Macaca fascicularis: one gene and its partners. The protein of the gene in region 3 purifies or fractionates together with the protein of the main gene of each other region. This does not show direct contact. Links are inferred from orthologs where the notes say so. Each region holds a gene or a part of one and is shown on either strand. Other genes may lie near its edges.

Region 1 (5,440 bases), on a different chromosome or scaffold from region 3:
CGGTGGGCTGGTCCGGACTCCTGGGTCACTGTGTACTCTGGCAACCGCCAGCCTTTCTGCACCACCAGCTCCTTGGAAGGGAGACACAGGGTGCATGAGGCTGAGTGAAAAAAGGCTTCTCACACCCACGCTGGTCCCCACGCAGGAGCCTCAGACTCTAGGTGAGAGGAAGGAGAGAGGGGGGTGGAAAGGGCCTCAGTACAGGGAACCGCCCCCACCCCCAAACACACATAACCTTCCCTCATGGCCCCTGACTCAAAGGAAGACAGGCATGCATGCGAAATGAGGATGGAGCACACCTGCAGAGCACCAACAGGATTGCACTCAGACTGCTGAGGGGAGACAGGGGGCTGCAGTTCCATGGGGGGGCTCCTGAAGGAAAAAGGGCACAGGGCCAAAGTTGAGGTGAAGGGTTCCATCTGAGCCTGCCCATGAGCTCCAAGCCTAACCACTACTTTAGATTCCTGACTACCATCTCCTGATTCCCACCGGGCAGGCAGCTGTCTGTTCACACATCGAGCCTGCTCCCTCCTGCTCTAGCCGGCTTCCTTCCCCCTCCCACTCAAGGGAGGCCTTCTCCAGGCCCCAGCCCATTTCCAATCTGGAACACTTGTGTATCATCCAAGCCAGGACAGTGGGAGAAGAGCTGTATTTCCAGTCCCAGAAGTGCCTGATGGGCCTCAAACACAGAACTGACATGTGGTCAACCCAGAAGAAAATGGGGCCTGCGAGACCCTTAAATATGGTCGAACATCATCCATAAGGCTATCTGAAAATCACAAATGACCTTCTGTCCCAAGAGCTTACCCCAGCTGCTGTGATTTCTTCAAGTTCTGGTTCCCAACTATTCCATTCTGTTTATTCTCAGACTTCCTCATGCCTGACCAGCCTGGGTCCAAAGACTGAGGAGCCAAAAACCAGAACCCCTTCCTCCACCCACCTCAGGCAGTCAGGGAACACAGATACCTGGTTAGGACAACAGATGGAACTGGGGTAGCAGCTGCTGCAGCAGTAAAAATCGGAATGTCCTCAGGCAGTGAAGAGTCTAGGGGAGAAAAAGAACTTCCCGAGGGGAAGGGGGCCTTTGATTCACACCCATGTATAGGGGGAAGAGAGGGGTGGGGGACCCACGTCCTCCTGACCTCCCGATCCCCTAAGAGAACTTCCAAATTGAGCCAAAGAATCAGGGAGGCTCAACCAACAGCTTCCTCCTGGGATCCTTTGCCGCCAAACACCGGCAAAAAGACAGAAAAGAGGGTCTCTTTGTACCAAAGAACCAGAGGAGCAACAAACTCCAACCTGCGCGTGAAGGAAGGACATCTTGCTAGAACAAGGAGGTATGTTGGGGAGCAACTCCCTTTAGCCTCAGCCTCCACCCCTCTCCCTCCCTAACCCAGGTCCCAATCTACTGCCACAACCCCTCTATGGGGCTAACCAACCCCTCCACCCCAAGAATTCTTCATAGCAGCAAACGCCCTGGAAGACCCTGTTCAGGTCCAGAGGGACTCTCAGGAAGAGGCCAGGTCAGGGTGGCTAAGTGTCACCTGGCCAGGCCTGGTGGCAGAGGGGGTGGTGCAGGGCCTGGGTTCCTTGAAGGGCTTCTGGGATGCCTCGGTTCCTCCCTCACCTGCTGTCCTCCAAGGCCGGCTCCAGCATGCTCCCCCCTTTGAGGTGTTTGAGGGCCACCTCAGCTGCCTTGTGCTTGGCTGCCTTCTTGCTGGGGCCCTGACCTGAGAGAGGGGGCATGGGCAATACTGGAGGTCACTGGAAGGATGGGAGAGAAACCAGCATCCCACAGCCTCTCTCCTCAGAGCCAGTGGGAATCCATCAAGCCCCTTCTGACCAACCACCCCCTGCTGAAGACTGGAAGTGTTTCACTAATTGCTAGAAGGAAGAGCCCTTATCTTTCCATTAGCTTCCAGACCAGAATTAAGCCATGCCAAGCAGGACTTCTGAGCTCAAACGCCTTGGGTGGACTTCTGAACTCAAATGCTTTAATTTCCTTTGCAAAGCACTTTCTTTTCCCTCAATAAAAACAGAGAGCTGGAATAAGAGAGGGTAGGCTCTGGAGTAAAAGCCCCACTCCGCCACACACTAGGCATGTGACCATGCACCAGCCATTTACTATCTCAAATACTCAGTTTCCTCATATTCAACATGGGCGGGCGGGGGGAGGAGTGGGGGGGGGATACTGCCACCTACATCACTGGTTAGACTGAGGTTTAAAATTAAATGGGAATTTGGTTAAGCACCGGGAACAGAGCCCAGCATGCCAGGCACTCACTCCCCCAAATACTCCACTGGGATTTCAGTTATCTTCTCTTCCTTTTCCTCTAGGGTGATGTGGCAGTCCTGATCGATCCTCTAACTCTCCCACGTCCTACCCACCTTCTCACAGCCCTGTTCTCCCAATCCAGTCAGTAGCTTTTCCCCTGAAATCTCTCCTTCCCTCACTGGCCTTGAAGAAAAGGACTGTGAAGAAAGAGACTCCAAGAAACAAAGTCATGGGGACCTGCAAATGCACACCCCAGCCAGGCTGCCCAAGCCTTCCTCACCAGTGCAGCTGGTGTCGCCAACGGTGACCCGGAAGGTGAAATTAGGCTGGTGGGCTTGGCCCTCGGCTTTGAGAAGGTCGTACACAGGCGTCTTCCCTATTCTGGTCCCATACTCCTGCAGAAGGCTGATCGGGGTCTTGCCTGGGTTGGCGGCCAGCATTTGCTCTATACTGGGGGAAGGGGCACAGACCCATATCACACCTCCCCTCTCTGCACCCACCTGGCCAAGCACTTCCATACCAGACCTAGGCACATTATGGGGGACATAGGGTCCAAGGAACCCCAGGCAGTCTAGCATCCATTGGCTGGGTTCCAAGTGTAGGTGCAGGCTGGAAGAGTAGGGCCCACTACCTCAAAGCAAGGGGGGAAGAATGCACTGCTCCTGCCTCAGTTAAGGTGGGCACGATCCTGTGCCCCATGCAGGTTGAAAGTGCATACCCCCTGACACAGTGCAAGCCAGGAACCCAGTACCCACCAAATGCACTGAATGTGGGGGCATAAAGCCCAGTGTTCCAGTGCAGTCTGGGAACCGGGCCAACCCCAAACTATTTAGAGCTGAAGGCAGCAGCCACTGCCCCGGTGCACGCCGGGAACCACTGCCCACTGCCCCAGTGCTTGCCGGGAACAACCCTCAGGCCAGGTGCATGCTGGGGCCGCGCCGCTACTCCCTCCGCACGGCCCCACGCTTTTTGCCCAGAAGGAATCGGTACGAGGCGGCTCACCTAGGCAGCCCGCAGCCCGTGGTAATGCCGGAGCCTTGCTCCTCTTCACTCATTCCCTCCTCCGTCCCCGCGGGCGCCACCGTGAGTGCAGCCTCCACGCGCCCCAATACACCGCCGACGAGCTAGGGCCGGGGCCAAGCCCGGAGTCGCGGCCGGTAGGGCCCGCCGAGGGGCACGCTGGGATATGGAGTCCCCCGCCCACCCTACTTCATGAGCCTCCATCTGGAGGGGAGCTATCCGCCCCACAACCCTCCGCGTGGCTCGCCCGGGCCGGCTGCACCGCCTTCTGGGAGGAGCGGGCTCTCCGCAGTCGCTTCTCGAGAAGGCTGTATTTTTTTGTTTGTAATACCGTCCCGCCTCCTTCCTTCCGCGCCCCCTCTCTCCCGGGCCGTGAGGCTGTGGACATGCGTACTAGCGGAGGGGAAGCCGCTGGGTAGCGGGGCGGTAAGGACTCACTTGGGCACGGAGCCTTTTGGATCCCGAGAAAACTACAGAACCCAGGAGCCCGCGCGCCATCTTTGCCGCAGCTGGAGGGGCAGGGTCAAGCACGCACGAGAAGCTTCATGTTGTCATTGGTTACTCCCATTGCGTTTACTTCCTCTAGGCACATTGGAATTGGTTACTTCGACCAAAGGGGCGGGGACAAGGAAAAATCAGCCCCCTGACCCCGCCTCCTTGGTGAAGGAAGGTTGTGATTGGTCCGGAGAGGTTGCTGTCGGATCCGGGCTCTTTGAGGTCTGAGAGGGTGGGCTTTACCTAGACGCCGGAGGGGACCGATGTCTGTCTACGCAGGGCTCTGGAGCTGGTGCAGATCCAAGTCAGTCTCAGACAGTCCCCTCAACCCACAGCCTAAGCCCCTGGCCCTTGGGCCTCCGTGACACAGAACTTGCTTCCTCTTCCTAGGTTGTCCTTCACCTCCTTCAGGTTTTGCTTCTTTTGTAAAACCTTTTTAGAACGGCTCTAGTGAACCTCTCTAACTGGCAAGGAAATCTCTGGGGCCTGATAATCAGGCTGTGGTGTGGGGCGACAGGATTAGAAGGACTAGGCACCTGGTGGTCTCGTTCCCTCTGCCATGAGTCTTGGGTCTCTCAGCTGAAGAAAGCAAGAGTGAATTTTGGCCGCCTAAGACTAATCAACTGATCTGGGTGTTGAGCAGACGCAAATTTTTTAGTCCTAGAGCCCCATTGCCTCCTCCCCCAAAGTCGCACAACCACTGGGCTAAGGGAAATCTTGTGACCTTGGAGAAAGGGAGATATCACATTTTTAAAAAATAAATAAATAAATAAAGGTTCTAATGAGTGTTCTGAGAAGGGGTCAAGAAAGAGATGTCTTACTCTGAGGCGGGGCTGGAGGTCCAGAGGAATCTTTAAATGATAATGAGGGGTCATCCAGGAACACTGGAGGAGGATGGGGCCTAGAGTCGAGTGAATTCCAAGTGGGTGAAATTAGAGTGAGCGGTGACAATCAAGGGAAGGAGAGCTGGCAAGATCAGTATGATAGGGGGAGCAATGCCAGAGCGCTAGGGATCCCAACTGAGGGGCTGCTCTCTCCGATGTAGAAAGGAGTCTATAAGACGAGTCATAGGGGGTTCCTGTGGAATCAGCCTAAGGCCTGAGGTGGGACCTCCATAGGACACCGCCAGCAGGGAAGCGCGGGGCCCAGGCGGGCCAGGGACGAGAGTGGAGCGCGCCGGATGGCAGCAGCGGGCTCCTTTAAGAGGCCGGCGGCTCCATCGCAGCATCCCCCGCTCAGGGCGTGTCCGTCCCGGGGGGCCAGGGGCGGGGGCCCTGGAAGGAGCGGGAGTTCAAGCCGAGCAGGGACGGGGCTAGGGGTCGGGGGGTGGGGGCAGCAAGCTGAAGCTGACACCCGTGCATCCGGACACCGCACGAGCATCGCCTGTGACAGCGCCCCGGGTCCGGTGGAGGGCAGCGGGGGGAGGAGGGAAGGAGGAGGAGAAGGAGGAGGAGGCGGGAGCAGCATCCGGAGCGGAGCTGCAGCAGCGCCGCCTTTTGTGCTGCGGCCGCGGAGCCCCCGAGGTGAGAGCCTGGCCGAGTTGTGGGGGGGTGGGGGGCAGGGATGGGTCCGGGTCCTGGGATCCGGGCGTGGAGGGAGGGTCGGGATGCAGATGTGGCCTGGTGCGGGTGGTGGTGTGGGGATGCTGAA
Region 2 (3,789 bases), on a different chromosome or scaffold from region 3:
ACCAGGCTCTTCCCATCAAACTCCTTGAGCTGCTGCACACAGTACTCGTCAATGGGCTCGGTCATATATACCACCTCGAAGCCCCGTTTCCGCACTCGCTCCACAAAAGCTGAGTTGGCCACCTGCTCTTTGCTCTCACCTGTAGGGTAATTAAATGGACTCAGTGACTAAAATGCCTCATACTGCCAGTTCCTAGGTAGCCCTGAAATGTGCTCCCCACTCCTCCAAAAAGGCTTCCATCAGAACCAACGCACCAGTGATGTAATAGATGGACTTCTGTGTCTCCTTCATGCGAGAAACATACTCTGACAGAGATGTCATCTCATCTCCAGACTGGGAGGTGTGATAGCGCAGCAGCTCAGACAGGCGGCGGCGGTTAGTGGAGTCCTCGTGGATTCCAAGCTTGAAGGGTGGGAAGAGAAAAAACAATCCAACTTAACTACAATTCACTTTCTATGTGAATGGAAAAATTTGTTAGTAATTACTAAGAAAGTGGTAAAGGGAATAAGCATTTGCTTCTTTACCTTGAGATTTTTAGAGAATGCCTCATAGAATTTCTTGTAATTCTCCTTGTCTTCTGCCAGCTCAGAGAAGAGCTCAAGACACTTCTTAACAATGTTTTTACGAATGACTTTCAAGATTTTGCTCTGCTGGAGCATTTCTCGGGAGATGTTCAGGGGCAGATCCTCAGAGTCAACCACACCACGAATAAAATCTGCCATCAACCAGGATAAGAAAGCTCAGTAAAAATAGCTAGACCAGAGCTGGTACCCAGATTCAAACAGAAGGCTCTAATAGCCTCCTGAACCCTTATACTTACTATGCATTGCAGAAAATCCTTAACCTAGGATATTCTGGCAGAATGCCGAAAACCTCCCAAGACTTCACCCAACTAAATTAGGCCAAGGAGATACTCACTGAGATACTCTGGTATTAACTCATCACAGCTGTCCATGATGAACACACGACGGACATAGAGTTTGATGTTGTTCTTTTTCTTCTTGTTCTCAAAAAGGTCAAAGGGAGCCCGACGAGGAATGAATAGCAATGCCCTGAATTCCAACTGACCTTCTACAGAAAAGTGCTGAAAAAAAACAAAAAATAAGCAAGTGATACATTTCAAAAGAGGGCCTTTTAGCCCCAACACCAAATTACCTAAAAATGGAATAATGATCCTCCCCATAAGCCTAACGGATAGAGCGCACACACAGGCAGTTCCCGAGAAAACTGAGCCTTAATGCCCTCAACGATCTAGACGAATACTAGCTGTATATAGAAAACAGTCCGCTCTGATCAGAACTCTGGATGTGTAAGGCTGCCAATAGACATTACCCAGATTTCCTTTAGAGAAAGTGAGGTCATTAGGAAGGATGGCACTTCACTATGACCGGGTAATCAGTAAGTGAAAATACATAGCTCTCACATTTCTGTTATCAGCTGGACACGTTCCATGTGTCTATTACCTGCCAACACTCTTCCACTTATTCCTCTCCATATTTGCATGTTGACCCAACATGCAAAGGCTTCTCACCTTGACTGCCAAGTGGTCTTCCCAGTCATTGGTGAGGCTCTTATAGAATTCTCCATACTCCTCTTGGGTGATGTCATCAGGGTTTCTGGTCCAAATAGGCTTGGTCTTGTTTAGCTCTTCCTGATCAATGTATTTCTCTTTGATCTTCTTAGTTTTCTTCTTCTTATCCTTACCACTGTCATCCTCCTCATCTGAACCCACATCTTCGATCTTGGGCTTTTCTTCATCATCTTTATCTTCCTCTTCTTTCTCACCTTTCTCTTCCTCTGCCTCATCATCACTAATTTCCTTCTCTCGCTCCTTCTCCAACTAAGTAAGAAAAACAGAAATTAGCCTTGGAGTACAAAACACCAGGAAAAGCAGAAGCCAGGGACCACGAGATTCTCCAGAACAGGAAACATCCTGCACGCTAAGTGTAAAAGGTTTAAAAGTCCATACTCACATAAAGGGTGATGGGATAGCCTATGAACTGAGAGTGCTTCTTCACTACTTCTTTGACCCGCCTCTCTTCCAAGTACTCTGTCTGATCTTCTTTAAGATGGAGGATCACTTTGGTACCTCTGCCAATGGGCTCACCTAGAAGAGTCAATCATAAGCGTGTAACAGGGCGAAAGTATATGCAGTTGAGACTTACCAAATTAATAAAGTATTAGCGGAACTGCTATGAAGAACTGCTTGACAGGATGCTCAAAATTTCTGCTACTGGTGAGCCCACAAAACTCTAACCCAGCTACCTTGTAACAGAAAAGCTAACTTACCATGGTCAGCCCGCACAGTGAAGGAACCTCCAGCAGAAGACTCCCAAGCATACTGTTCATCATCGTTGTGCTTTGTGATCACAACCACTTTCTCTGCCACCAGGTAGGCAGAATAAAAGCCAACACCAAACTGTCCAATCATGGAGATGTCTGCACCAGCCTGCCAACAAGTTTTTGTAAAGTCAAACACAAAATTTAAAGCAGCAAAAAAAATAAAGAACACTGATGAATATGAATGGTGTATGCCTACAGAACTGCAGTACCTGAAGAGCCTCCATGAATGCTTTAGTACCAGACTTGGCAATGGTTCCCAAATTATTTATGAGATCAGCTTTGGTCATCCCAATGCCTGTGTCTACCAAAGTCAGGGTACGTTCCTGAGGGTTGGGGATGATGTCAATTTTCAGCTCTTTACCACTGTCCAACTTCGAAGGGTCTGTTAAGCTCTCATAGCGAATCTTGTCCAAGGCCTGAAACGAATACAAACAGCAACTTACTTTTGCTCTCTCCGAGACAGGCAATTGCTCTGTTGCCCAAGCTACAGTGCAGTAGTAGCAAGGATGACAGCTCACTGCAGCCTTGACCTCCCTGGTTCAAGCCATCCTCCACCCCAGCCTCCCAAGTAGCTGGGACTACAGGCACATGCCACTGTGCTCAACTAATATTTAATTTTTTGCAGAGACAAGGTCTGGCTGTTGCCCAGGTTGCCCTCGAAATCCTAGGCTCAAGTGATCCTCCTGCCTTGGCGTTACAGGTGTGAGTCAACACGCTCGGTCACTTTTGCTTTCTTAAAGCCCGTGTCTTCAAAGAAAATCTTGGTTTACCTCTCTCAGCCTCAAATCTGATTGCCCCTTATCTTGAGGCTTTAGAACTACAGTTAGTTACATGAGCCCACTTTTTCTGGACATAGTCACTTCCCTTTCAAGTTCAAGATGGCCAGAGAGTAAGACAAATCTTTTTGGAATAGTTGCAACTTTACCCCCTTCAATAGTAATCCCCAACAAAGGCCAAACCACTCCTTTCCTCTCTACGAAGAGTGTCAAAAAAATAAACACACCAAATATAGAAACCACAGCACTTACATCAGAAGCATTAGAGATCAACTCCCGAAGGAAAATCTCCTTGTTGGAATAGAAGGTATTGATGATGAGAGACATGAGTTGGGCAATTTCTGCCTGAAAGGCAAAAGTCTCCACCTCCTCCTCTCCATGGTGCACTTCCTCAGGCATCTAAAATAAAAATGATCATTAATTACAAAACATGAAGGCCTCACATTTTAAAATCCTAAAGGTCATCTCATTTGTTAGGACCTTAAGAGTTGAGACTGGTTTGACCTGAGTACTAGCCCTTCCGAAAAGACCGAAAAAGCATTCTCTTAAAAGATCTCAGGCTACACACTAAGTGGGAAGCCTGAAAATTCAGAAGGAAAAAGAAAATAAGCTGAATGTTCTTCAACCAAATGTCACAGAACCCAGCTACTTAGAGTGGTGACCAGCAGTC
Region 3 (4,822 bases):
TTGCAAGAAAGAGTGCAGGACAGTGCAGAGGAGGGAGGCTACAGCAAGAGAAAGGTATTATCTGCACAGAGGAAGGATGGAGCCCGGACCCCATCTTGGGGTGATAACCACCCCCTCCCTACCTAGCCAGGTCAGAGAACAAATCAGGTACACAGTTCATTCTGATGGCTCAATGTTTCCGGGATACAAACTCATCAGGCATGGGAAGGATTTCCAAATTTTGGCAATACACTCAAGTTATGGTATAAAAATAACATTTTGTTTTCTCTCTTTTTTCTCATTTTAGACCTAAGAGTTTTTTGTTATAAGACACCCCAGTTAAGAAATATTGAAACACAAGAGACTTGACCATCAAGGGAGAAAAGAAGCCAAGAGTGAAAAATGCTATGAAAGTAACTCCAGACCTGGGTGGGGTGGGAGGTAGGAGGAACAAGGAGAAAAGGAGGCATAAGTGGAAAGGCCAGGGGCCAGTCATCTCAGCAGCTCCGAGACTTGTCATGTTTGAAAGTGCAAATGTCAATGGATTTTAACCATCTTGAGGTTGTGATCTTTTAAAAAGCTCAATGAATGAGGAAGTCAATTCCTTCAAATGCAAAATAGCTGGCTTTCTGGCTGGAGGTTTGTTGGGTCTGGGGTATTTCTTCCCCATCTACCTCCTCTCCCACCCCCACCCCATTCCCCAAAGAAAGGTACAAAAGGTTGCAGTTCTGCAGCATTACCGTTACAGGGAAGGCACTGGTTACCCACCAGCGGGCGGAAGGAAGACAGGGTCGTGTCACTTCAAAGCTAAGTGCCATAGTGCCTTAAGTATTACTAGGGGCTGGATGTCTGTCAGGGAGGAGAAGTAAGGTGGGGCAGAAAATGTGGACAGAGAGGAATAAGGGGAAGGGGGGGGTGGCAGCTGGGGGAGGAGCAACCAAAACCATTAAAAAATCTTCCTACAAACTGGATTCTGAACCCATTAAAACATCTAGTATCCTAAAATATTGATCTGGGTCTGGTTTCATTTTTCTTCTTAAACAAATCTAGTCCTTTTCTGATTAAGGCTCCTAAAAAATCCTTCCCTCCTCCCACCCACTTTCTCAAGCCCCTCACTTTCCCATCTAAAGTATCAAACCCAAACCTAACCAGCTTTTGTCTGCAGGGCTACAGAGTTGACCTTACCAAGCTGTCAAGCATGAGTCTTTAGCACTGTGAGTCACATGAGACACCTGTGTGTATGGTGGGCACCAGTGCTGCCCCTTTTGGTCCATTGGGGTCAGGGCCAGATGTGACAAGATGGGGTGAGGGGTGGGGGACATGAGGTTGATATCAGAGATTTCTGGCTGGTGGTCTGTCTTGCTGGCCCTGTTCCCCACTCTTACACCACCTCTACAGAAGGAAACAAGGCGTCCTACACTCCTCCCTACCCCACCTCCCTCCTCCTTGCTTCCTCTGGATTTGGGTGGCACAGCTCCTGGGGCTTGGAAAGCTTTCTTCTATCCAGTGAGGTAACAGCGTTCTGCCTTCAAGCGAAGTACATGGTGCGCAGAGTATCCTGATGAACCTGCACGGCTTTGGCCAGGGCCTGGGGGTCCCGCCCATTGCTTTGCCCCGATATGTGGCTCCCCTCTCCACTGAAAAGGAAAAGATGAAAGAAGTCCTTCCTGGTGAACTGAGCTGCTGCTAATTCCCTCACCCAGCCCTGGGATGCCAATTCCCATACCAACTTAAGAGAAAACCCCAACCCAGGATTGGGCAGAGAAGCCCAATGACACCAAATTGGACAGCACTCCTTTCCTTCTACCCAAGGAAAGTTGAGAAGATCTGGCACAACAGGCTGAAGCAAAAAGGAGGCCAACCTGATCCCAGGTCTCACCTGTCATGCTCCTTGTCCACCAGGTGGTATCGTGCCCGGAAAGCCACCAGGCGGGCATAGTAGGCAGGTGCTGGGATAGAGACAGAGCGTGTGCATCGTACGTAAGTGTGGCACAGCTGGTATGTCAGGATCTGGAGCTCATCCGCTGTGAAACGGTTGTCATCCCAAAGAACATAGTAATGGGATGGTCGGCTGGTGCCCTGGGAAGATAGGAAGATGAGGGTCCCAGGCTGAGCAGAGGAGATGGCTGATAATAGGGGAACAGGATCACTATTAAGAATACGGCTGGGTAGATAATTCACCCATGAACAGGCGGATGCAAAACTACCAATGTCATAAAGCACTCTTCTTAAAGGTAACCTGCAAGTGTACTCAGGGCTTATTAAGAGAGCAGTCCTGGCCGGGAACAATGGCTCATGCCTGTAATCCCAGCACTTTGGGAGGCCAAGGTGGGTGGATCACTTGAGGTCAGGAGTTCAAGACCAGCGGGGCCAAAATGGTGAAACCTTGTCTCTACTAAAAATACAAAAATTAGGCCGGGCGCAGTGGCTCACGCCTGTAATCCCAGCACTTTGGGAGGCCGAGGCGGGCGGATCACGAGATCAGGAGATCGAGACCATCCTGGCTAACACGGTGAAACCCTATCTCTACTAAAACTACAAAAAATATTAGCCGGGCGTGGTGGCGGGCGCCTGTAGTCCCAGCTACTCAGGAGGCTGAGGCAGGAGAATGGCGTGAACCTGGGAGGCAGAGCTTGCAGTGAGCCGAGATCGCGCCACTGCACTCCAGCCTGGGCGACAGAGCGAGACTCTTGTCTCAAAAAAAAAAAAAAAAAATTAGCTGGGCATGGTAGCGCATGCTTGTAATCCCAGTTACTCGGGAGGCTGAGGCAGGAAGGCAGGAGGACCGCTTAAACCCAGGAGGCAGAGTTTGCAGTTAGCTGAGAGTGTGCCACTGTACTCCAGCCTGGGGGACAGAACAAGACTCCACCTCAAAACAAAATAAAACAAAACAAAACAAAACAAAACAAATGAACATAATTTGGATGTCATTCAGTGATGACTGATATATTGTAGAGGCAATGTGAATAAACAATTCATCTTTGACCCATTGGAACCCCAAGATATAGCCCAGCTACCTGGATGCCTGCATGGCTGCACAGATAGAAGTCAAACTCAAATGGGTGGGTGATGTTGGTGTCCACTGTGGTCCCAGCTGGGATGTTACCACTCTTCCCAATCTGTATAGAGACAAACACAACCAAGATCCCAAGACCTGCCTGGCCCTAACTAGGACCCTGGCTCAATTCTACTCTGACTTCACCAAAATCCCAAGAACAAAGCCAAAGTTGCTATTCCCAGAGGGTACTGAATCTTTAAATAATATGCTTCTAAAGTCACACAGACCTATGTTCAAGTCCTATTAGCTGTATGATCTTAGCAAGTCATTTAACCTTTCTGAGATTAAACTGGAGATAATAATAATACCTACCTCACAGGGTTGCTGTGAGGAAGACGCCTTGTACAGTATCTGGCACATAGGAGGAGTTCAATAAATGGTAGTTCCCTTTCCCTTCTCTGGGAGCTGGTCTATATATGGGGTCTAGGCCAGGGAGCTAGGAGGAGGGAAAGGAAGTATAAGGGAAAGAGGGGAGGAGGTGGACACTAGTGAAGGCAGTGGTAGAGGAAGGACCACAAGAGCTAAGAGGAGGGAAGGGGCCAGGGAGGATGAACAGGACAAGGACTAAATCCCCAGCCTTTATCTGAAGGGCTTCTTCTCTATTAAGATAAGGGAGACAGAAGGAGGGGACGGGAGGTCTCAGTCCCTCACTCACTCGCTCGTTCTTGTCAGCACAGAAAAGGCGGGTGTGATGGCGTTTCTGCACCACAATATAAGTGATCCCAGGCTGGTAGTCCTTTTCCAGTTTGATGCAGGCATCACGAATGGCCAGTAGCTCATAGTGGAGTATCTAGGCACAAAATGGAGAGGGAAACAAAGAAACACACAGTTCCTCTTGAGTTCACATACCCTTCTGAACTAAGGAATTGCCACTTGTAATATAGCTTTTTGCTCAGTCTCCCTTTATATGCTGATGCTCAACAATTAGAGATGATAGGCCCTTCTTGTCAAAAGCAGCCTTATACTCAGTTCACTTAATATGTTCCTATAAAACCTTGGCCAGGAGCCTTGGCATCAGAAGACAACAAACATCTGGTTCTTGTGTATAAAGAGACCTAATATCAAGACACAGAACCAAGGTTCACAGAGAAATCACTAAAATTACAATGCCCAAAGTTAGTTTCACTCAGGATCAGGCAGCTAATGAGAGTTCTCTTTTGGGCTCCAAGAGCAGACAGGTTGTGGACCACCAGAGAAGAGCAGACATATAGCTCCATAATGGGTGCAGAGAGAGTAGGTGAATTCAGTCCTACAAAGCAAGCAGGATTATTAGAAAATGGGCTAGCTAAAGGAAAAGCTAGAAGTAAATAATCATAGGCAATAGTTTCCTATGGCCATGGATGTCAGATATAGAGGGTCAAAACTGTATGGTACAGAACGATAGACTTTGGAATCAATTAGACGTAAATTTAAGCTTTAACTAGTTGTATTACATTGGGCAAGTTATTAAACTCCACTAAGTCTCATTTTCTCCACATCTGTTAATGTTACTAAGACCTGCTTCACAAAGCTGTTATGAAGACTAAGATAGACAATTAAGTAAAAGCACAGAAAACCTAGTAGGGCTTAATAACTGCTGATTGCTTTACTAAGCAGTTTGAATTTTAACCCAAAGCTATGTGAAGCCACTAGACATTTCTGAACAGATATGTGATATGATAAATGTGTCTGATATTTTAGAAAATACTGGATGACTTAGAAATTGGGCATAATGGCCAGGCACCGTGGCTCACGCCTGTATTTCCAGCACTTTGGGAGGCCAAGGCGGGTGGATCATTTGAGGTC
Region 4 (5,566 bases), on a different chromosome or scaffold from region 3:
CCCCGGCCACTCTTGCCCCTGCTGGGTCCGGCCACTAAGCCCCCTCCCCGCCCCCACAGAGGTTCCGGGCCCTGTGCTCCCGCGAAAGGCTGCTGGCCTCGTTTGGGGACAGAGTGGTCCGCTTGAGCACCGCCAACACCTACTCCTACCAGAAAGGTGAGCGGCTCCGCCCCTGCGCCCGCCCGTGTGCCAGCACCGGGACGGCTGGACCAGCCGGTCCTGACCCGGCTCTCTCCTGCAGTGGACTTGCCGTTCCAGGAGTATGTGGAGCAGCTGCTGCACCCCCAGGACCCCACCTCCCTGGGCAATGGTGAGTCAGCCCTAGGTGGCGGTAGGGGGTGGGGACGCCTGGAGTTTCCAGGTGCCAGGATCCCTGCCCCCACCGTCTCTACTGGCAGACACCCTGTACTTCTTCGGGGACAACAACTTCACCGAGTGGGCCTCTCTCTTTCGGCACTACTCCCCACCCCCATTTGGCCTGCTGGGAACCGCTCCAGCTTACAGCTTTGGAATCGCAGGTGAACGCTGCTCAGGACTGGGGAGGAGTGAGGCTTCTGAGGGTGGGTACAAAATGGCTTGGTCACCAGGTGCTCATAACCCCACAGGAGCTGGCTCGGGGGTGCCCTTCCACTGGCATGGGCCCGGGTACTCGGAGGTGATCTACGGCCGTAAGGTCAGCACAGGGTTGGGGTTGAGCCTTGGGGCTCGGTGACCAAAACAGGCAAGGGTGACGCTGCTGCTCCTGCCCCCAGCGCTGGTTCCTCTACCCACCTGAGAAGACACCAGAGTTCCACCCCAACAAGACCACGCTGGCCTGGCTCCGGGACACATATCCAGCCCTGCCACCGTCTGCACGGCCCCTGGAGTGTACCATCCGGGCTGGTGAGGTCAGTGGCTGGCAGGAGAGGGCCAGGCCAGGCCAGAGGCCCCCAGCTAATCTGTGCTGCACCCCTTTTCTCCACCAGGTGCTGTACTTCCCTGACCGCTGGTGGCATGCCACACTCAACCTTGACACCAGCGTCTTCATCTCCACCTTCCTCGGCTAGCCAAAGCAGCTGGCAGGCATGCCTGCCACACACCAGCACGTCCCATCTCGTGCTCATGGATTTTATTACACAGACAGTGTCGGCAGTGGCTTCAGCCCAGCCCACCCTCACCTGCTTTTCCAGCCCACAAAGGGGGACAATCATGGCCCAGCAAGAGCTATGCTGAGAGGGGGAATAGTCCAGAGCCCAACAGCAGAACTTGAACTTGGAAGGGGCCAGGGTGGCCAGCAACACAAACTATGTACAGGGGTGGAGGGCTTCCGCCCAGGGCTCTCCTGGACCAGGATGCTGGGCAGGGCAAGGCATCTCAGTAGTCCTCCACCCAGCCATTCTCAGAGATGAATGCGTCAATGACTTCCTTCATGGCCAGGTTGGGGATGAGCTGTTCCTGGGTCAGGGGGCTCCGGGTCACGGGGTCAAAATGACCCACGCGCTGCAGTGACAAGAAGGGCAGAGGGCAGTCAGTGGGCCCAGGACCATGCTGCTGGCCCTGCTCCCCCAGCCGCAGCCTCACCTGCAGGTGCTCCTCGATGTCCTTGCGGTCGTAGGTGATGCCACTGGGCGTGATGCACGGCTCCCGCATCAGCTCAAAGCTGATCTTACCACACAGGTAGTCGGGGATGTCACGCTTCTGTGGCACAGGGGCACACGATCAGAGGCTGGGAAGGGGCACTGCTCCAGCACCTGCCACCCACCGCAGCAAGTGACAGACACTCACCTTCCTCTTCTCGTCCACCTGAGAGAAGAGCTCGTCCATGTCTGCCATGTACTTGTCCTGTGAAGAGTTGAGCACTGCACTTGTGCGGGACACCCCACCTCCCTCCTCCATGGGGCACAGACCCAACACAAGGCGGGGATGCTCCCACGCCAGGTGCACACACACAGACCCACATGTGGGAGGGGGGCACCCTCACATGCTTAGCCTCAATGCAGGCCTGCTGGGCCCGGACGTGGCTGTCGTCCTCATCACCCTCGTGGTTCCGCTGGCACTCTTCCAGCTCCCTGGGGGTTGACCAGGAGCCAGTAAGAGATGGACCTGGCCAGATGTCTGACCACACCCCAACCTCAGGGCTAACATTCATGCTTCTTCCCCACGTTTTCTGCTCGCCAGTAAAACCTTCAATAAACGCTCATGTTGGTAGTTGGTGATTCAGAATTACCCCAAGACAGGGCGACCTGGGGTGAGGGTCCCACCTCTCACGCTCCGCGGCAATGAGCCTGGAGAGGTAGGAGTGCAGCTCGCTCTCCTGGTGGATGCGCCGCTCCTCGATGCTATTCCAGCGCTTCTTCTTCGCGATTCGAAGAGCGCTGGGGATGTCGTCCCCGAAGTTCAGCCGCTGCTCCTTGGCCAGGCTGTAAGCTGGGGAACGGGGGCTTCAGGTCACTCTCTGGCCAGTCCACCCGCCTGGCCCCAGGGGCCCCACAACCGGGCAGCTTGTCAGCCAACCTCGCTGCAGATTGGCGATGGCCTCATCATAGCTCTCCATCTCCAGCTGGCACTGCCCCAGGAAGAAGTGCGCCTTCACAGACTGCCCGTCCAGTTCCAGGGCGCGCCGGCAGTCGGCCAGGGCCTGCTCGTGCTGCTGCATCTTCAGGTAGCACAGGGCACGGTTGGTGTAATATACGGCCACCAGCGGGTTCCGGGTCTAGGGACCAAGGCCGGGCCAGCCGCATGAGGGTGTAGGCTCAGCGCGCCCCCTCTGTCCCACGGCCCGTCCCAGCTTCTGCGCTCTGGCTAGAATCAAGAAACTAGGCTTCTCAGTCGTCAAAGCCCCTGGATCCAAGGATCTGCAGACAGTGGAGTACTGGCTGAGCCTATCCGCTTGACTCCACTTGGTTTTGTAAAGTTTTCCAAATCTTTGGAGAGTCCAGGCTTTGGACCTGGGAGCCTCAAGGGGCGAGGGCCCCTGCCCTCCCCCCGACCCGGCCGGCCTCCATCCAGCATCCCACCCTCGTTCTCCGACACCCGGCGCTGGGCTCGGGAACCACGGCTGGGCTTTAGGAGCCCAGGACATGCCCCGCAGAGGAACCAGACCCTCGGTGGGGCCAGCCGGGCACGGGCCCGGCCCTCCCCGGCGCCGCCGCCGCCGCCGCCGCCGCCGCCGCCGCCCTTCCCGCGCGAGCGCACTCACGATCGCGCGGCCGTAGCAGGCCGCCGCCTCCGGGTACTTTCGGCCCACGAACAGACGGTTGCCCTGCTCCTTGAGCTCCTGCGCACTCGGGCTCTTCTCGGGGCTTCCGCCGCCAGCGCCCAGCCGCGCGCCGCCCTCCTTCTCCTCCTTGCCCTTCATGGCGCCGCGCGGCACGGCCTGGGCTGCGCTCCCAAGCTCCGCGCCTGGCGGCCCAGCGCCTGCAGCCCGAGCCCCGCAGCCCGAACCCGCGATCCTCTCGGGCCCGGCCCAGCTCCACCGCCGGAACTTCCGGCCGGGGGCGGGACCAGCGGGGACGCACGGGTGGGGGCGAGTGGGGCCGCGCGTGCGCCCAATCAGCCTGGACGGGGACGCTAGGCCCGCGGCGTCGGGGGCTGGGAGGAACACTCCGGTTCCCTCGCTCGGCGCTCTTAAGGGTCGGCGTTCGCGGAGGCCCTGGCCCGCCCTGCTGAGGCCTCTTCGGAACCGGCCTCGGCGGCGACCGCCACACACATTCGACTTTCCCAGTGAGATGCCTTGGTTCGCTGAGGGCGCACTCCCCCAACAGCCTGTCCCGACCACCTGGCGTTCCGCCCCCGCCGCAACGCGCAGAGACCCCTCCCCAAGCAGCGGGCCCCATCCAGAGGCCCTTCCCCCGGCAGCCAGCCCCGCCCCCAGCAGCCCGCCCCATCGGCAGACGCCCCGCCCCCAACAGGCCGCCCCACCCAGAGGCCCCGCCCCCAGCAGCCAGCCCCTACGCAGAAGCCCCGCCCCCAGCAGCCGGCCCCGCCCCCGGCAGCCGGCCCCGCCCCTCCGCGTGAACATAGTGGCTTCCCGCGCTGTTGGGTGTAAGGACCGCAGTCGCTGGGCCGCCATTCCGGAGCGCCATCGAGAGGTCCTACGGGTGCGCGCGGACCCCCGAGTGCGGCTGGAAGCCCTGGGCCGTTGGTAGAGTGGAAGGGGATAAAGGGATCGGTGGGCGAGCGTACCCTGTGGCCGGACCTCCCCTCACCGCCCTTCCCCAGGTATCGGGAGGAGTTGCCAGCGGCCATCAGGGGCAGAGCGGAGAGCATGTGACAGGGAGCTGGAGCGGCTGCTGGCCTGGAAGCTGGCGGCGAGGTGCGGCCCGCCTCGAGGGCGGGGCCTCCGTAGGGCGGGTCTTCATCGGGGCGTGGCATCGGCGGGGCGGGGCCTCCAGAGCGGGTCTTCGTGGGGGCGGGGCCTCCCTGTGGGTCCACCACGCCGGGCACCCTGACCTGGCTTCTCACAGCATCTGGTGACCACCAATCCCCCTGAGCTGGCTGTGCACTGTTCGACCACCACCTTCTGCCTCCTGCCAGATGTGGGGGCCGCGGTCACCCAGCTGTCTGCCCTCTGCGGTGTGGACCCACCACAGTCACAGCCTCAGGTGAGTTGGGTGGGCACGACTTGGGTACATAAGCGTCCTTGTCTGTGAAGCAGACAGTCTGGGCCCTTGTGTGTCTCTAGGACCAGGAGTCGGAGCCAGAGCTTGTCCTGATGGGGTGTCTGGCTGCTTCTCCTCGCTGCTCACAGCAGTCCTGGTGCCTGGAGCTCGAGATGGAGGCCTTCATGTCAGATGAGGCAGTGGTCACAGTGCCCGGCCTGCCGGCCCCACAGTACACCCTCAGGTACTACCTGCTGTACCTGGGCCAGGTTCAAGAGTGGGCCACAGCTCTGAGCCAAGGTGAACGAACTGTGTGTGGGCAGGCTGGGGTGGCCCGTGCCCCTGGGCCTGAGTCTGTGTGCTCCCCACCTAGTGGAGACAGCACTGTGGACCTGGGCCGTGGGGCAAAGGCTGTGCCCAGACCTGCTGCCCAACCTTGGCCCCAGCCTGGCCACCCACGTGGACACTAGGCCAGCCAAGAAGCATGGGACCCAGGCCGAGTGAACTTGGCTATAGTCCAGGCCTGCTCACCTGCTACACAACCTTAGGCCTCCGGGTCTCACTGGATGGCAGGGAGGCTGAAGAGTAGGTCAGCCACTATGGGAGCTCAATAAACACTTCCCAGACTCATGCGTGATTACACACCCAGTCTGACCGCACACCCGGCCCCCAGCCCTCCTGGGTGCCTCCAACTCCCATAGACACAGCACCCATGGCCCGGAAACACCTCCCACACCTGACCTCAGGTGCAGACGTGCACAAGGAGGGAAGTCCAGGCCCTAGTGGTGGGGAGGGCCCTCATGGTCTGTTCAGCAGGTGTGGGGGTCCTGACAAGTCTCCAAAGCCCGGGACAGCCCCCTGGTGCTGTGTAAAATATTTATTAATTATCCAAAAAGGCTCAGACCGCAAGTCCTGGGGGCAGGGGGGTGGCTGGGACAGGGTCTCCTCTGAGGCCACCCACACCCGAGGGGCGCAGCAGCCCTGAG
Region 5 (5,606 bases), on a different chromosome or scaffold from region 3:
ACTTATCAGCTAATTCTTGAACTCCTTAGACACAGGGACCAACAGAGCCTAATTCAACACTCAGATGCTTGCCAAACTACTGAATCTACATAAAGTATACCCAAGCATCCTTTTCAATAAACCTCTTAAGTTTCTTAGAAGCTCTTTTCATTGGGCAAATGGCCTTTCACACCATGGAACAAGAGTCTGATAAGCCTTTACCCCTTTACCTTTACTCAGACTTACAGAGGACACAACTTTCTCATAAGAAATCCCGAGCAATGACCAACCAGACTGCAAAGACTGTCCTACATAAACAGCCTCTGACAGACGCCCAAGGCATCGGTCAATGCCAAACCATGAGAAGCCTACCAAAACCCTAACCATTTCATATACCTATGCATCCCTTCCCAGGCACCCCTAAGAGCAACCAAAAGGCAGGTGTCTAGGGCCACATCATCTCCTCTCATCTCATACTTAATTCTCCTTCCTAATACTTGCTGATGACACCCCTAGGCTCAGGACATGTAGAAATGAATTATTTATCATTTCCCCTTTCCTTGTATCCCCCAGCCTGATTAACTCCTCTCAAATGTAGTCACTCATCTGGAACCTGCGAATCAATGTAAGTTGACTCTCCCTCTATATCCTTTAAACAAAGTCTGGGGGTTACTTTAATAGTCCCTTCACCAGTATTTCACACTCTGGTATCTACCCCTTCTAATCCAATTCCACAATTTTCCAAGGTAAACATACTAAAATACAAATTTTTATGTCACTCTACTAAAACATTTTCAGCATTTTCCCCGAAGCCCTGAGAAAACCTCCTAGCCTTTCCTAGCTCAACTCTTCAGAGTTCTACCCTCAGTTCCCTCCCTTTCCCCCAAGCAAAACCCATCCTTTAACACATACAGGCTACCATGTATTTCTGAGTTTTCACTGTTTGGAATCCTTTTCTATTCTGCTCCTTATTCACCTAATTTCAACTCTAAGGAAACTTCTCTGTTCCTCTGCCCCATCTCAGCCTGAGTTATGCACCTCTCTCTCTGTACTGCAACAGTTCCCCATAAATGCCTCACCTGCCACTTTTATAGCCTGTGTTTTCCCCTATTAAATAATGTGGACATAAGTATCTTGCTAGAGTCTACATTCAATTCCTAGCACAATGCCTGGCTCAAAAGAGGCATATATAAGAAATCAAAATAATTTTTCATTAGAATAGAGAATTGAAACAGTAATTTCACTAGGTCTTTTAGAACATTTTAATGTCTTGAAACCTTGACATAGTAGGAGATGAGTGTCCATTTAGTTAACTATTATCAGCTTTTAGTATTAACAATTTGGAAAATTTTTAATAATTACAGATTAAAAAAAATTTTTTAACTTACTTTGCATTTAGTTATAGTTTCCTATACTACATTAGCTAGTAAACAATAATGCCCTTGCAGTAAACAATGTCCTAGGTTTATTTTAAGGTTAATGTACACTGCAAACTTTAAAAATCAGCCCAGGTACTAAATAAAGGGGGAAAAAGAAACTGACACTTTACTTCCTATTATGTCTATTATGTTTTCCTTTAATACTCTATTTCTATATTACATATAATAACACTTAATTCAACCCTCATTTAACAAAACACAAGGAAACTAAGGCCCAGAGAGGCTAAATAAAATTTAAGGTCACACCATTCTATGTGCTATGTGGGAGAGTGAGATTTCAAATCCTCTCAACTTGGCTACAAATTCCATGCTCTTCCCACTTATAAAATGATATTATTATGAAACACCTAGGAATAGCTATTTGAAAGATAAAGATCTATAAAACGTACTTACGTACTTACCTTTGAAAAACTATTGGCAAGATTAATAACTATGCATTAAATTGTACAAACTCAGCAAGTTACTTTGTATGCATATTCAAAGACATTAAATATTAAAATGAATCTCCATTAAAACTAAAACATTAAATCAAATAAATGCCTTAAAAATCTGTAAGAGTAATTTTCTTTTTAATTCTATGTTTAAACTGCTTAATATAAATAGTTTATACACATACTACCTTCTTTTGAGCAGCTTCCTTCTTTTTCTTGTCGTCTTTTTTCTTTTTCTTTTCTTCCATCAACTGTTCTTCTTCTTGCACTAAATCCCTGAACCACACAGTTGCAATTAACTTTCCCAAAATGTATTGAGAGATAAAAATAATGTTGCATACAGGTTCATTTTCACTTTTTCACTCTTATTAGAAGACATGGCAAATTATTATTTTATCATTCACTGAAAACACAACTTGCAACCTAACCCTAACTATATAGCCACTATATGGTACAATTCACTTTAATAAGCCACAAGTAGTACAACTTTTATCTCAATATCATATCAAGGAAGACAACCTAAAATTAGCAAATTTTACATTGGGAAACAAGCAATTTCCTCCAATCCTAGAATGTAAACTTCATTTAAGCTGGAGTTACCTTGCTACTGGCCCCAAGTATCAATTAGTAGCTAATGGCAACGCCTGAGACCTCCTCACAATCCCCTCTCACCTAGGTTTCTGGAAGCTACCTTTAGTTTTCCTTGCCCTAAATAGCTTTGTAAATATTTTTAGAACATAACTTAATAATCTTAATAATAAATAGGTGACTTGTATTTCAGCATTACAACAATTTCATATTCCACAAACATTACAAAGTATTCTATCAATTCTTAGGAAACAATAATGTACTCTTGTTTGTTTTGAGACGGAGTCTTGCTCTGTCACCCAGGCTGTAATGCAGTGGCGTGATCTCTGTTCACTGCAGCCTCCGTCTCCCGAGTTCAAGCGATTCTCCTGCCTCAGCCTCCCAAGTAGCTGGGACTTTACAGGCGCCTGCCACCATGCCTGGCTAATTTTTGTATTTTTAGTACAGACAGGGTTTCATCAAGTTGGCCAGGCTGGTCTCAAACTCCTGACCTCAAGTGATTCGCCCACCTCGGCCTCCCAAAGTGTTGGGATTACAAGTGTGAGCCACCGCGCCTGACCTATTAATGTATTCTTCATATTAGTTTGTTTAAATTTTTAAAATCTCAAACAGTTAAAGTTGTCAACAGAACTTCTGGTTCAGGATTTCAAAGTGACAGACTGGGCAAATGTGTTTCAGGAGACAGGTTATTACCTTTCAGGGGAAAAGGTTATTACTTTTTTATTCTATTCAAAGCTGATAAGCAAAAGCAAAAGCCACCCCACCCAAGAATAAACACAAGAGCAGTCTGAAATGGATGTTTTAGGTACCATCCTTTCTGGTGGAGCTCTAGAGAGGTTCCAGAAGATCAGAGCAAGCAAGCATGAGGCAAAAAGACTGTCTAAGGAATAGAAAAGCCATAGCTACTCAACCCCTCCCACCCACTTTCCATTCAGATGCCTACACGGCCAACAGGTAGTAGCTGCTTCTAAATGCAGCCTAAAGCCAAATAAATACTCTCTAAAGAAACAAAACCTTCCACAGGAGTCTGTTAGGTGCTTGGATGGGTTTGGTTGCCCCAGAATAAAGCCCATCTTATTGGAGGCTGCTGCCACTCCCTCCATCACAGAGTAAAGTAAAGCCTGCCAATCAACACCCTTCACACAGATCAGCCTTCCCATTCACGGAAGGAGTCGACTGGGCAAAGAAACCTTTGCAAAGGTGGAAGAAATTCACTCCAGCTACCTATAGTCATCACCCTAAAGTCTAGACCCTAAACCTTCACTCATAATATCAACAACCAAAATCACCAGTCACCCAAAGAAAAGCATCACACAAAATGAAAATACCTAACTCTGCCCTGAGGAAGTTTTCCAGAGAGGACACTAAGAATATCAGGCAGACAAGGAGAGGTTTGGAGATATGAACTAGACATTTGGGAAGCTGCACATTATTTATCCAGGCTGGAATGCATATGGCAGTAGGGATGTCAAAGAAGATAAAAGGAGAAAGATAGGCAAGTGTCTAAGAAACTGGAAGGGGTTGCTACGGGTGCACTGCAATGAGATTAAACAAAATTTAAGTTGGCTTTGCTGATGGAACGGACTGAAAAGAGATGCAGACACTGAAAAATGAAATGAATGACATTATGCACAATTGATAAAAACTTAGTAAAGTACAGGACTACTAAAATCAGCTAAAAGGATAACTGGAAGAAGAGTATGATAACTGTTGCTATATTTCGCTGTCATTTTGTTACAAGCAGACTGTCATGTGGCTAATGGAGTAACATAACAGATTCCTGCCAACTGTGGCCGTGACTCACTCTCTTTTGAATTCCGTGTGCAGGAGGTAGTAAGACTGAACAAGCTCAGTCACATTACAAACCCAGGGAAGGCAAGGAGCAAGACAGTCACAGCATATGAGAGCAGCAGAGTAAAATCAGTAAACAACGGCAACTAGATTACACCACTGTCATGTTACCTACCCCGAGACACGCAGAAGTCAAGATTAAAAGCTGATTACTAGCTCAAAATACTTAATCTTCTTCAGTCTCTTGTTTCTTCATGAAAAAACTGGGGACAAATGACCATACATGTCAATGTCTTAGTATTTTTATAAGAATTAGGACTGCTTACTTAGCACAAAGCTTATCTAGTAAGCACTCAATTGCCTAGTCATGAACCCAACTCACCAGTCCTCAGTGGCACCCAAAAGGTTGTCTTTACCCTACTTGTGTCAAAATATCACAGGTACTTGGGTACTTATTCAGAAACATCTAGCATCGCCGGGTGCGGTGGCTCAAGCCTGTAATCCCAGCACTTTGGGAGGCCGAGACGGGCGGATCACGAGTTCAGGAGATCGAGACCATCCTGGCTAACACGGTGAAACCCCGTCTCTACTAAAATACAAAAAAAAATTAGCCGGGCGAGGTGGCGGGCGCCTGTACTCCCAGCTACTCGGGAGGCTGAGGCAGGAGAATGGCGTGAACCTGGGAGGCGGGGCTTGCAGTGAGCTGAGATCCGGCCACTGCACTCCAGCCTGGGCAACAGAGCTAGACTCCGTCTCAAAAAAAAAAAAAAAAAAGAAACATCTAGCATCTGCAGCATTTGTTCTTCATGTTCTGCTGTGAATTACAGACATGTCCTTTTCTGATCTTTTTTGTCACTATAATTTTACTCCATCTATTGGTCTCTATCCGGAGTATTTTGTCCTTTCTCAAACTTCATTTTCAAGACTTTCTGATGAGGTTACTAGCAAGTGTTTTCCTGGCCAAAAATATCCCCCTTAGTACTTAAAAGATGTACCACACATTTCTTCTCGAGGAAATATCACAATATCAGATACTGTAAGCACAGAGGGGAGTAAGTTCTGTTCTTCAACACCATCATCACAGCCAACCAGTCATACCTTTTCCCATATCTCCTCCTTCAGAAAGCCAACTGAAAAAAAAAAAAACAAAAAACAAAAAAAACAAAACTTGTGCCCAAACACGTCAGCTTCCAGGAGTTAAATGTTCATAGAGACTCAATTAAGACATCTGACTATATCATTTACCACAACTATCAAGAGGAGTAAGGGCTGATGGATCTGAAAGGCCTAAGTGGGCCACTCTGTTTGATGCACCTGCCACCAAGACAACACTCCAATTAGCAATCATTCATGCCCTGAAGGCTACTTTGCAGGATAC
Region 6 (4,822 bases), on a different chromosome or scaffold from region 3:
ATTAAGGTCAGGTGCGCCTGGGATGCTTTAAATATTTGTTCTTTTAATTTTGCAATATCCAAAAACAAGTTTGTAGAGTGTCCCTCTAGATGCTTTTTTGGTCTTTCCCAAATTTTGATCTTATTAAGAGCTATTAATAGTTTCCACAAATCCTTATGTTTAGCTCCTACAACGGGCCATATCATTTGAGGTTGAGGTGCCACTATACCGCCATGGTTCCAGATAATGGGAACTTTTGCCATACTTCTTATTTCTACCCTCTGACCATTTTGTTCAGATCAGCTGAACATAGTGTGGCCAAGGCACACAGACTGAGAGGTGCAGTTCAAGCTAAACATCCCCTTGGGGGACCAGTGAATAATGATTCCATAGGAATTGATGTGCAGCACCTCTGCCTGTTCTGCATATCCCTGTCAGCTTTTTTGTCAAAGCCATTTCACAAGTCTCTAGGAAGTTCCAAACTGTCCCACATTTTCCCATCTTTTTCTGAGCCTTGAGTTCCAACCTCTGCCTGTTACCCAGTTCCAAAGTTGCTTCCACATTTTCAGGTATCTTTTCAGCAGCACCCCACTCTACTGGTACCAGTTTACTTTATTAGTCCATTTTCATGCTGCTGGTAAAGACATACCCAAGATGAGGCAATTTACAAAAGAAAGAGGTTTATTGGACTTACAACTCCACGTGGCTGGGGAGGCCTCATAGTCATGGCAGAAGGTGAAAGGCACATCTCACATGGTGGCAGACAAGAGAGCTTGTACAGAGAAACTCCAGTTGTTTAAACCGTCAGATCTTGTGAGACTATCACGAGAACAGCACAGGAAAGACGTGCCCCCATGATTCAATTACCTCCTACCACGTTCCTCCCACAAAACATGGGAATCATGGGAGTTACGATTCAAGATGAGATTTGAATGGGGACACAGCCAGACCATATCAGATAGTTTGAAAGTAATAGTTTCTGCCTTTTAGCAGCAGTCTTTAGGGATTTGCTCTGTTGTATTAACCAGAAGAACCTGGGAGCACTGATTCCACACCAGGTCTGGGGGCAGGCAGAGGTGGAGACCAGAGCTTTCCTGGAGATTGTCAGGCCTCTCACCCCCGTCTCTCCTGGCACAGATGGGAAAACACGGGTCTCCGGGGCTGGCGGGAAGATCCAAGAAGTCAGAGTCACCACGGGGAAGTGGGAAGGGGGTCTGCAGGAACTGTGAGGTTTTGGTTTACGAAAGAAAGTATGGACCTCCCAGGCTGAGAAAGGCTGTCCTAGATCATGTGGTGATGGTCCGTGATGGCCCGTGCTGTCCCACACTTCAGCACGGTAAGAGGTGGGGAGGCCGCACTATCCACTGGCACCGGGGCCTTGTCAACCGGGTTCTCCCCTCTTGTTGCAGGTTCTGCCTGGAGCACCGACGCCTCAGGAAGAACCAGCAGCTGGCTCGTTCTTCGAAACCTCACTCCCCAGGTGCAGTACGGTGCCCCTGTGTCGCTGAGCATGATCCAAGGAGGGTTCCCTCTTGGCCCCCGATGCAGATGAGGCTGTCTGGTGGGGCGGGATAGTCGGGGGTTCTTGGTCAGGGTCCAGAGGTGATGCTGCACGGGAGGAGATGAGCAAGTGCCAGGCTTGGCTCCAGCAGCAGCAGCAGATGGGGTCCAGGGGTCTCTTTTAACCATGTTCTTGGTGAATTGTTTGTTTACCCACTAGAGGCTGGAAAAGTGTGCTCTGTAAATAGAATTGTTTATCTTACAACTACCCATTCAAGAGTGGTTGGGCCTGGCCGGTTGCAGTAGCTCACGCCTGTAATCCCAGCACTTTGGGAGGTCGAGGCCAGGGATCACCTGAGCCCAAGATTTGGAGACCAGGCTGGGCAACATAGCAAGACCCCATGTGTGTATTTTTATAACATTTTTTAAAAGAGTGGTTTGGCCACGTCAGACTGTGGGGCTAGCCAGTCCCTTCTTGGGACCCAGGCCACACCCACCTACACATCTCCCAAGTCTGTTGTCAGCAGCTAGACCCAGGTGCCTTTTGCAAACCAGGGGCTCTGTGTGATGTGCTCTGGTGAAAGGAGAGCTGAACTCAAAGTGGGGTTTTTCTCCTTCCTCTGATTAGCCTAACTCATAAAATATAACTGAAACATCCAAGATTTTAGTTACACGTTTGGCCACAGAGATACAGAATGTGAACATTGTAAAATCACATATTATTAAAGCCTTTTAAAGAAAAACATTTTCCTAGTGTTTAGTGTATCCAGTTTCATGTTTTTTCTTTGGAAGGCTGTAGTGAAAGAAATCAGAAGAAAGCTCATTCATGCCCCTGTGCTTCCTCTGTCAGATTGATGGTTCTACACTGCGGACATTGTGTTTGCAACATGGGCCTCTCATCACATTCCACCTGAATCTGACTCAAGGCAATGCCGTGGTCCGGTATAGCTCCAAGGAGGAGGCTGCCAAGGCCCAGAAGTCTCTGCACATGTATGTTTCCTCACAGCCACCTCAGCGCTCCAAGTAGCTCCACATCCCCCAGAGCATTAGGTTAGGGGTGTTGCAGGGGGGTCCTGAGCCGCCATAGCAGCATCCCACAGGCTGGCCACCCTCCCGCTTCTGGAGGCCGGAGGTCTTGACACCCAAGATGAAGGTGTGGGCAGGGCTGGTTTCTCCTGAGGCCTCTCTCCTTGGCTATAGACAGCTGCCCTCTCCCTCTGTTCTTACATGGTCGTCTCTTTGTGCATGTTGGTGCCCTGATATAAGGACACCAGTCATGTTGGACTAGGGCCCACCCATGTGACCTCATCTAACTAACTTAATTACCTCTTTAAAGACTCCATCTCCAAACACAGTTACATGGGGAGGTACTGGGGGTTAGGACTTCAGCAAAAGAATTGGGGGAAGGCGACACAGGTCAGTTCTTCACAGGTATCTTGAGACTTATTGTTTTTTTCTGCTGCTGAGTTGCTGTGTCTACTCCCCTCTGCCTGTGACACATTCCTACACAGGGCCCAGCAGCGGTCCTCACAGCCAACCCTTCACCCTGACGAAAGGTTGCTTTTGATAGAAGTATAAGTAGACCTGATCAGTAACATCACTTGAGACATGGAACCTAGAAATTAGTCATTCCTGTTTTTAGCCCAGGATGCAAATGACAGTGACCCTAAATGAGCCCACATTTAATGGTGTGTTCATGCACTTGAAGATGTACTCTCTGTACCAGTACGGTGTTGCTGCTAGAAGTCTGAACTGAGCAAAACCTTCACAGTCTGGGTTTGGAAATAGCAGTGGCAAAACAGAAGCCACACGATGGCTTCCAGGTAGCCTTTCCCAATACGAAGACAGAAAGCCGGTGCCACGAACTTAGCAGGACTTGGGGTGGCCCTGCTCACGTGCCCCATCTTGCTGTTGCAGGTGCGTCCTGGGAAACACTACCATCCTGGCTGAGTTCGCTGGCGAAGAAGAAGTGAATCGCTTCTTAGCCCAAGGCCAGGCGCTGCCACCCACCTCCAGCTGGCAGTCCAGTAGCGCGTCCAGCCAGCCGCGGCTCAGCGCAGCGGGCAGCTCCCATGGCCTGGTGCGCAGCGACGCTGGCCACTGGAATGCCCCATGCCTGGGTGGCAAGGGGAGCAGTGAGCTGCTGTGGGGCGGGGTGCCCCAGTACTCCAGCAGCCTGTGGGGCCCGCCCAGCGCTGACGATAGCAGGGTGATCGGCAGCCCCACCCCTCTGACCACCCTGCTGCCTGGGGACCTGCTCAGCGGGGAGTCCCTGTAGGAGCTGCCATCATCAGCACCAGGAGAGCCGACCCCTCCCGGGACCCCTCCCAGATGGGCGGCCCCACAGACCCGCTGGAACCCAGCAGCGGCCACCCTTTTGAGTACCTCTGTCCAGGACTGAAGACGAACCTTGGCCACAGTCCTTGCGAACTGTTCGCAAAACAGTGCGGGCTGCGGTGGGTCAGCGTCACATGCTAATGACAGGATGTTCCTCGTAGCTTTTTATTTTGTGTGTCTTATGTTTGTATAGTGTGTTGTCATTTTGATTTTTTTTTTTTAAAGTATAAAAGCTGCTTAGAATAGTTCTATCATGAAGGGCACTTTTCAGATTGTGGGCTGGAAAGGGTTATTTTATCTGTGGGGGAGGGAGGGAGACGTGAAGCCTATTTAAAATGAGCCTGTGACGATTATGCACATTACCAGAGGCGGCCGGTAATCAGGGCAGAGTCTGGTGTGGACCGCCGGGCGCAGAGCGGCTCCACGGTAGGAGCTGAGCGGAAGGCGTGGGCTGCGATCTGCTCTCTGTTCCCCTGGATCCGCCTATGCACATTACCCTTGTTTCATTACTTTTTCATGTCATTTTTTTATCCCAAAAAATATTTTTTAAAAGTTAAAAAAAGACATATCAAACATGCAAATACTTGAATCCAGCAGGCCAATAGTGAAATGTGAACACTTTCTAACTCTACACTTCCAGGCTGACATCAGTACACAGAAACAGGCTCTAGGGAAAATTTCTAAGTTCATAGCCTCCATGTGTGTGAGTGTGTGCGTGTTGAAACAGAAGTGTGTGTGTGTGCGTGTGTGGCGCGTGCTCCTGCACAGCGTGCATTTTCTGTGTTTGTGTGTTTGAAAGCGTGTGAGGATTTAACTGTGGGTTTTCCCTTGTATTCAGTATATGCTTTTTTTTTTGGCGCATTGGTCAAACGTTTGTTATTATTAGCTTCTAACTTTGCACTGAGTGTCCTCGCCCTTCCTTTAGCTAATCCTATACATTACAGAGAATTCCTAGGACAGGGCTGGCGACAATTCATGTGTAAATGTTTACTCAAGGACTCTGTGA

Evidence for each region.
Region 1: the proteins of protein argonaute-1 (region 3) and TARBP2 purify together in Homo sapiens (co-immunoprecipitation; 4 studies listed by BioGRID and IntAct, with this or other methods). This does not show direct contact. The link is inferred for Macaca fascicularis from reciprocal best matches to the Homo sapiens genes AGO1 and TARBP2.
Region 2: the proteins of protein argonaute-1 (region 3) and HSP90AB1 purify together in Homo sapiens (co-immunoprecipitation; 4 studies listed by BioGRID and IntAct, with this or other methods). This does not show direct contact. The link is inferred for Macaca fascicularis from reciprocal best matches to the Homo sapiens genes AGO1 and HSP90AB1.
Region 4: the proteins of protein argonaute-1 (region 3) and STUB1 purify together in Homo sapiens (affinity purification with mass spectrometry; 3 studies listed by BioGRID and IntAct, with this or other methods). This does not show direct contact. The link is inferred for Macaca fascicularis from reciprocal best matches to the Homo sapiens genes AGO1 and STUB1.
Region 5: the proteins of protein argonaute-1 (region 3) and TNRC6A purify together in Homo sapiens (affinity purification with mass spectrometry; 10 studies listed by BioGRID and IntAct, with this or other methods). This does not show direct contact. The link is inferred for Macaca fascicularis from reciprocal best matches to the Homo sapiens genes AGO1 and TNRC6A.
Region 6: the proteins of protein argonaute-1 (region 3) and TNRC6C purify together in Homo sapiens (affinity purification with mass spectrometry; 5 studies listed by BioGRID and IntAct, with this or other methods). This does not show direct contact. The link is inferred for Macaca fascicularis from reciprocal best matches to the Homo sapiens genes AGO1 and TNRC6C.

The regions. Positions count from the first base shown.
Region 1 is NC_088385.1:60,310,877-60,316,316, reverse strand, and holds the start of TARBP2 (RISC-loading complex subunit TARBP2), read right to left. Parts: upstream 3,566-5,440; 5' UTR 3,331-3,565; coding exon 3,278-3,330; intron 3,154-3,277; exon of another isoform or gene 3,031-3,153; intron 2,726-3,030; coding exon 2,556-2,725; intron 1,731-2,555; coding exon 1,628-1,730; exon of another isoform or gene 1,545-1,627; intron 1,063-1,544; coding exon 967-1,062; intron 373-966; coding exon 300-372; intron 158-299; exon of another isoform or gene 72-157; coding exon 1-71. UniProt on the Homo sapiens protein: Required for formation of the RNA induced silencing complex (RISC). Component of the RISC loading complex (RLC), also known as the micro-RNA (miRNA) loading complex (miRLC), which is composed of DICER1, AGO2 and TARBP2.
Region 2 is NC_088378.1:127,266,804-127,270,592, forward strand, and holds part of HSP90AB1 (heat shock protein HSP 90-beta), read right to left. Parts: intron 3,519-3,789; coding exon 3,372-3,518; intron 2,760-3,371; coding exon 2,553-2,759; intron 2,450-2,552; coding exon 2,290-2,449; intron 2,108-2,289; coding exon 1,974-2,107; intron 1,841-1,973; coding exon 1,532-1,840; intron 1,085-1,531; coding exon 919-1,084; intron 716-918; coding exon 525-715; intron 403-524; coding exon 255-402; intron 140-254; coding exon 1-139. UniProt on the Homo sapiens protein: Molecular chaperone that promotes the maturation, structural maintenance and proper regulation of specific target proteins involved for instance in cell cycle control and signal transduction. Undergoes a functional cycle linked to its ATPase activity.
Region 3 is NC_088375.1:199,021,206-199,026,027, forward strand, and holds part of protein argonaute-1, read right to left. Parts: intron 3,828-4,822; coding exon 3,693-3,827; intron 3,099-3,692; coding exon 2,997-3,098; intron 2,059-2,996; coding exon 1,859-2,058; intron 1,617-1,858; coding exon 1,508-1,616; 3' UTR 1-1,507.
Region 4 is NC_088394.1:1,433,642-1,439,207, reverse strand, and holds STUB1 (E3 ubiquitin-protein ligase CHIP), read right to left. Parts: upstream 3,460-5,566; 5' UTR 3,338-3,459; coding exon 3,179-3,337; intron 2,835-3,178; exon of another isoform or gene 2,693-2,834; coding exon 2,494-2,692; intron 2,407-2,493; coding exon 2,241-2,406; intron 2,188-2,240; exon of another isoform or gene 2,049-2,187; coding exon 1,961-2,048; exon of another isoform or gene 1,822-1,960; coding exon 1,765-1,821; exon of another isoform or gene 1,678-1,764; coding exon 1,354-1,677; 3' UTR 1,094-1,353; downstream 1-1,093. UniProt on the Homo sapiens protein: E3 ubiquitin-protein ligase which targets misfolded chaperone substrates towards proteasomal degradation.
Region 5 is NC_088394.1:23,826,987-23,832,592, reverse strand, and holds the start of TNRC6A (trinucleotide repeat-containing gene 6A protein), read right to left. Parts: upstream 3,349-5,606; 5' UTR 2,189-3,348; coding exon 2,038-2,188; intron 1-2,037.
Region 6 is NC_088390.1:84,528,938-84,533,759, forward strand, and holds part of TNRC6C (trinucleotide repeat-containing gene 6C protein), read left to right. Parts: intron 1-1,388; coding exon 1,389-1,459; intron 1,460-2,329; coding exon 2,330-2,469; intron 2,470-3,396; coding exon 3,397-3,757; 3' UTR 3,758-4,822. UniProt on the Homo sapiens protein: Plays a role in RNA-mediated gene silencing by micro-RNAs (miRNAs). Required for miRNA-dependent translational repression of complementary mRNAs by argonaute family proteins.